2 linked regions of the Tribolium castaneum genome follow. The protein of the gene in region 2 interacts with the protein of the main gene of each other region in a pairwise test. Links are inferred from orthologs where the notes say so. Each region holds a gene or a part of one and is shown on either strand. Other genes may lie near its edges.

Region 1 (3,828 bases), about 1.3 Mb from region 2:
TTGTGCGTGAAAATCCGGTGCTGGATGCACTCCAAGGCCAGCCATTTGATGGGCATTTTACCACCAGCTGCTTTGTACTCGTCTTCGTCCACATCGAGGAGCTTGGCAAGGCCGAAGTCGGTGATTTTGACACAGGAGTGGGTTTGGACTAGGACGTTGCGAGCGGCGAGGTCACGGTGGACTAGGCGTTTTTCCTCCAGGTATGCCATTCCTTTGGCGATTTGCGTGGACCAGTTGAGAAGGGCTTTAGCGCCGATGCGGTCGCGGTTTTTTCGGACGAAATCGAGCAAACAACCCAAAGGCATCAACTGGGTTATGAGCATGATCTCGGAAGTCATACAAACACCCAACAACTGAAGGAGATTAGGGTGTTCCACACTTGCCATAATAAACGCCTCGCTTAAAAATTCTTTGCTACTGGTTGATCCGTCCCGGAGGACTTTAATCGCGACTGGGATTTTCGAATTGTTCTCATCTTCCAAAATCCAGACCCCTTTATAGACAGTTCCGAAGGCGCCATACCCCAAAATATCCCCCCGCCTGATTTCCGTTTCCTTAATCGTGCGCAATTTTTTACAATTGGGCGAAACGTTCGTTTGTCGCAACGGTTCGTTGTCTTCGAGCCCAGTCAACGCCATGGTCATCTTCAAGGTGCTCTCTTCCGCCTTGACCTTCTTGCGAAAAAACCAAGTCACCAAAATTATGATTATGATGATGATGATGATCGCACTAGTGATTCCCGTGGCGATCACCACAGTGTAGTTATTGTCGACGAAACCAGAGATGGGCAAGTTCAAGGGTTTGTCGGAACAGTAGGAGAAGGCATTGTCGGGGAAAACCCGGTGTGGGAATTCAGGTGGGCATGAGGACACGCAGCGGAAGGAAGAGTTTTCGGAAACGTATCCGTCGTCGAAAACTTTAAAATTTTCGCAGGAAATACAGTTTTCGGGACCTGGACCAGTGCAGCCTTTACATTCAGGGTCGCAAGGTTTGCATTCTTGGACTTCTTCGTCTGCGTAGTCACCGGAACGACATTCGTCTTCGCATTGCTCGTCTTTCTTGTAGTGGGTGCATTTTTGGCAGACTAGTTCGTGGAAACCGAAGCCGGAACAGATCTTGCATCTACGAAAACAAAATCGACTCATAACTATTACATCAGTTTAGGACTTGAGTAGAAGGCAAAACGAGCTAAGCGCGATTGATTGACCCCAAAAAAATTCATAATAATGCATTACTAGAGTTCTTAAACCGTCTGTAAAGAACAAATTTTTGACGATATTTTCCGAACGGGGTAATCGTAGCGATTTGATTCTTGCAAATTTCGATTTCGCCGATCATTTTACGTTGGGAACACTTAATCCTAAAGAAAAAACTGCGAAAATTTTAAAAATAATGAAGAAAGTTTAATTTAGAGAAATTGTAACAAGACTAAATTTTTGACGATATTTTCCGAACGGTTAGTCGTAGTGATTTGATTCTTAAAAATTTCGATTCCGCCGGTCATTTTACGTTAGAAACACTTAATCATAAGGCAAAAACTCCAAAAATTTGACAAATAATGAAGAAAGTTTGGATTAGACAAATTGTGAGGAGACTAAATTTTTGACGATATTTTCCGAACGGTTAGTCGTAGCGACTTGATTCTTGTAAATTTCGATTCCACCGGTCATTTTACGTTAAAAACACTTACTCCAAAGAAAAAAACTCTAAAAATTTGAAAAATAATGAAGCAAGTTTGGTTTAGACAAATTGTGAGGAGACTAAATTTCTTGACGATATTTTCCGAACGGTTAGTCGCAGCGATTTGATTCTTGCAAATTTCGATTCCGCCGGTCATTTTACGTCAGGAACGCTTAATCCCCAGGAAAAAACTCCACAAATTTGAAAAATAATGAAGAAAGTTTGGATTAGACAAATTGTGAGGAGACTAAATTTTTGACGATATTTTCCGAACGGTTAGTCGTAGCGACTTGATTCTTGCAAATTTCGATTCCGTCGGTCATTTTACGTTGAAAACACTTAATCCTAAGGAAATAACTCCAAAAATTTGAAAAATAATGAAGAAAGTTTGGTTTAGACAAATTGTGAGAAGACTAAATTTTTGACGATATTTTCCGAACGGTTAGTCGTAGCGACTTGATTCTTGCAAATTTCGATTCCGCCGGTCATTTTACGTTGAAAACACTTAATCCTAAGGAAATAACTCCAAAAATTTGAAAAATAATGAAGAAAGTTTGGTTTAGATAAATTGTGAGAAGACTAAATTTTTGGCGATATTTTCCGAACGGTTAGTCGTAGCGACTTGATTCTTGCAAATTTCGATTCCGCCGGTCATTTTACGTTGAAAACACTTAATCCTAAGGAAATAACTCCAAAAATTTGAAAAATAATGAAGAAAGTTTGGTTTAGATAAATTGTGAGAAGACTAAATTTTTGGCGATATTTTCCGAACGGTTAGTCGTAGCGACTTGATTCTTGCAAATTTCGATTCCGCCGGTCATTTTACGTTGAAAACACTTAATCCTAAGAAAAAAACTCCGAAAATTTAAAAAATAACGAAGAAAGTTTGGTTTAGAGAAATTGTGAGGAAACTAAATTTTTGACGATATTTTCCGAACGGTTAGTCGCAGCGATTTAAATCTTGCAAATTTGGATTCTGGAGGTCATTTTACTTTAGAAACACTTAAACCTAAGGAAATAACTCCGAAAAATTAAAAAATTATTAAGAAAGTTTGGTTTAGACAAATCGTGAGAAGACTAAATTTTGGACGATATTTTCCGAACGGTTAGTCGTAGTGATTTGACTCTTAAAAATTTCGATTCCGCCGGTCCTTTTTCGTTAGAAACACTTAATCCTAAGGCAAAAACTCCAAAAATTTGAAAAATAAAGAAGAAAGTTTGGATTAGACAAATTGTGAGGAGACTAAATTTTTGACGATATTTTCCGAACGGTTAGTCGTAGTGACATGATTCTTGCAAATTTCGATTCCGCCGGTCATTTTACGTTAAAAACACTTACTCCTAAGAAAAAAACTCCGAAAATTTGAAAAATAATGTAGCAAGTTTGGTTTAGGTAAATTCTGAGGAGACTAAATTTTTGACGGTATTTTCCGAACGATTAGTCGCAGCAACTTGATTTTAGCAAATTTAGATTTCGCCGGTCATTTTTCGCTAGGAACACTTAATCCTAAGGATAACACTCCGAAAATTTTAAAAATAATGAAGAAAGTTTGGTTTAGACAAATTGTGAGGAGACTAAATTTTTGACGATATTTTCCGAACGGTTAGTCGTAGCGACTTGATGCTTGCAAATTTCGATTCCGCCGGTCATTTTACGGTGAAAACACTTAATCCTAAGGAAATAACTCCAAAAATTTGAAAAATAATGAAGAAAGTTTGGTTTAGACAAATTGTGAGGAGACTAAATTTTTGACGATATTTTTCGAACGGTTAGTCGTAGCGACTTGATTCTTGCAAATTTCGATTCCGCCGGTCATTTTACGTTGAAAACATTTAATCCTAAGAAAAAAACTCCGAAAATTTAAAAAATAACGAAGAAAGTTTGGTTTAGAGAAATTGTGAGGAGACTAAATTTTTGACGATATTTTCCGAACGGTTAGTCGCAGCGATTTGAATCTTGCAAACTTGGATTCTGGAGGTCATTTTACGTTAGAAACACTTAATCCTAAGGAAATAACTCCGAAAAATTAAAAAATTATTAAGAAAGTTTGGTTTAGACAAATCGTGAGAAGACTAAATTTTTGACGATATTTTCCGAACGGTTAGTCGTAGCGATTTGGTTCTTGCAAATTTGGATTCCCCCGGTCA
Region 2 (3,202 bases):
AACTTTTAGTTTAACACAGTCACAAGTCTAGGAAAACACGAAATCAGACAAATTAAAAAAATAGACAAAAACGAAGCCACCCATGACTTTTGGCGGCTACTCAGTGTTTTTCCAGCGTTGCCAATCTAGTCGCACACAAAAATCCCTAAAGGAAAGCCGCGAATTGTGAATACAATTTTTTTTATTCGAATCACCACAACTAACCAGTGTTGTGTTTAATATTTTAAGTGTAAGTAACAGAAGTCTCAATACCACATTCACTTTCAACGAAAATCCCTGATCCGTAGTTGTGGGCTTTGTAAGGTTCGACTTAAAAGGCTCAAAACCTTTTATTTCAATTAATTGTTGATACTCAACGTTTATCTCACGTATTAGCTGTTTCAAAACTATAAAAACGCCACCGGCGCATTGTTTATGCACTTCAAAAAATTGATGTCTAATGTAATTTATAGTTTCAATGAGAAAGTTAATCCTTAATAATTTTTTTAAATTTTTTATCAACCTTATTTAAAAAATAATTCGGTAAAATACAACGTTGGGAGTTACTTAATAAATTTTATTAAAAAACAAAGAAACCATTTTGTTTTTTGTAATTATTTATTTAATACAACATAAATAACAAAAAAAATGGAAACATGTAATACTTGGATTACTTGTCAATACACGGGTACTTGAGATTCAGTACTTCTAGAGACCAGTGCACATCGTGCTAACTATACAATCATTCCTTAAATGCAACACAATCTAATAATAATAATATGTAATACCATATTTCGGTTAAATGTCTGGTCAAAGTAGCCTATGACTTTGAAATTTGGGTTTCTAACTTTGACTATCAAATTCAAACTACTAATAATTCAGTGTGGCCAACTTAATTTCTTTGTCATAGGCTACTCTGTCTAGTTATTTTTAATTGTACTGCTGCCGTCTTCTCGCCCTCTGTTTGTCGAACCTTAACTCCATCTCCTCCAAGACTTTGGGGGTGTACCTCACCACTAATTTGACAGAGCCATGGGCCTGTTTTAACAACTCCACTGCCTTTTCATGGTTTTCTCCTTCAACAGACTACCCCACAATTATTAATATTTACCCCTTTATCAAACCTCACTCACCACTCCATTGACACTCAATAACTGATCCCCTCGCTTCAGCCCCCCGTGCCGATCCGCCACACCCCCCGGAATAATCCTAGAAATATAAATGGGGGAATTCTGCTCCTTTCCCCCCATCACATTAAACCCTAAACCCTCCTCAGTCTTTGGCAGTTCCACGACTCTGGGGTGTGCATGTCCCTCACTGGCTGCGAAAGCTGCAACTGTGGCCTTAGCAGTGGCAGAGGCTCGCACGTCTTGAGACCCTTGAATATCAACAGTTTCGTAAACGTGCTCGTAGACCTCGCGCACTGCATTCAGAAAGTCGCTCTGGAGGACTTTCTGAAGGGCCGCGAGTTTAGTAGCCGGGACTTCGCCACTTTTCTGGAGCTTCTCCAAAAGCTCAACGGAACGCTTAATGTCTATGACAAACGTTGGAAAATTGCGTAAAATTAAGTAAAAATGTGATTACCTCGGTGGAGGGTCAATGGTTCGCCGATTTGGGCCATTTTTGCAAAATTGGGGCCAATCCTTTTGTTTGACAGGTAAATGACAGCTACGTTGGTACTAAACCAAAAACGTCAGATGTCCCTACATTTGTGCCTTCTGGCACTTGAAATTGATAAAACTTTTTATTGAAGGGATTCTTAAACTAAATCCAGAAAGAAGGATTTAGCAGGCAAATGAATAAGGCCGATTTAGCCAATTTATAAAAGCCACCCCTTTGAAATATTTTGGTTGGTATTAACTGTTACTCGCTTTGTTAGAGCAACAATAAAAGTCCCTAGATAATTTTAAATTTTGTAAAATGCTAACGGACGCTATTCATTTTAAATTTGCCTAAAAAAATGGGTCTGCGTGAGAAAAACTTGAGTGATTACGAGTGTCTTTATTGCCGAATTTACACAAATCAAGCTCATTTACAAGACAACTTTTTTACATTGTTTTGCGGTCAACGAAATGCATTCGACAACTGAATAAAACCACGTGACCTCAACTATATTAACAACTTTATTACGTCTCACACTACCAACAATAACGAAAAAAAACAATAATAAAGTAACTTATCACAACTGTTTATTGGTAAACGGCTGTTAAAATATACAGGATTTAAAATACAGGGCTATCAATACTTCAGCTTACAATGCCATTATTAAAACCGTGTAACGAAAAAAAATTGCTGGAATGTAAATTCCTGCGCCTGATAGTGTTAAAAAAAGGAATGTCGGCCTAAAAAATGCATCAACCACGGAATGAAACAAATAAATTATGAGACAATTAATAATTTAAACCGTAATAATTCTACTATTTCTGTTTAGAGCAAAGCTTTAAGCTCGTCGTATAGTACAAGAACCAAAGCTCCGCCAGTGCCACGGAGAACGTTAGAGAACGCTCCTTTGAAGAAGGCAGTTGGGCCTTCGGTTTTGCCGATCTTGATCCAGCAATCCAACGTATTCTTGTACATAATATCAGCTTTAGCGCGTCCAGACTGCATCATCATACGCCTTCTGACGGTGTCGAATGGATATGACGTAATTCCAGAAACTGTCGTTACGCACTGGCAAGAAAAACGTCATCAATACACACATCAAACAAATCACTAACAACTGATAGTCAATCAATGACATCAGTTAATGGGTAGTGGTAAACTAGAGTCATCAAAGTAGGCTCAGTTTTGTGTAACACATCATGTGTAATAACTTCAAGGACAAATTCATTCAATTCTTATAGGAACAGACGATCTAATCTTATCGCAATTGTTTATGGTGCAAAAAAACTGTTACAATATAGTTCTGAACTCTATTACACAAAGGTCAATTGTGATAAGAGTTATCTCGTCGCACGTCCACAATTGGAAGCAGATAAGAGAGGAATGTTACGACACTATTTCGTAACGAGGGATACCTTACTATTTCAGGATATAGGTCTTCGGATCAATTGCTTTCACTTTTTCAGCTTCAGCAACTGGAAATAACAACAAATCAAAGGTTAGGTGTGTGTCCTTTGCCCATCAATCAGTTCACCGGTTGGAGTCCAATATAATTACCTGTGCAATAAGGAATGAGATGAGGAACGGTGTGTTCTTGGGATCGGGCAACATTCCCTTGGCA

Evidence for each region.
Region 1: the proteins of veli (region 2) and Egfr interact in a two-hybrid assay, tested with the Caenorhabditis elegans proteins (3 studies listed by BioGRID). The link is inferred for Tribolium castaneum from reciprocal best matches to the Caenorhabditis elegans genes lin-7 and let-23.

What each region holds. Positions count from the first base shown.
Region 1 is NC_087394.1:3,686,512-3,690,339, reverse strand, and holds part of Egfr (epidermal growth factor receptor), read right to left. Parts: intron 1,123-3,828; coding exon 1-1,122. UniProt on the Caenorhabditis elegans protein: Tyrosine-protein kinase receptor which, upon binding ligand lin-3, activates 2 signaling cascades: the let-60/Ras and MAP kinase signaling pathway and the let-60-independent phospholipase C-mediated Ca(2+) signaling pathway.
Region 2 is NC_087394.1:2,339,966-2,343,167, forward strand, and holds veli (protein lin-7 homolog C), read right to left. Parts: upstream 1,722-3,202; 5' UTR 1,601-1,721; coding exon 1,564-1,600; intron 1,514-1,563; coding exon 1,113-1,513; intron 1,066-1,112; coding exon 910-1,065; 3' UTR 579-909; downstream 1-578. Other genes in the region: ADP,ATP carrier protein 1, read right to left, coding at 2,407-2,649, 3,139-3,202.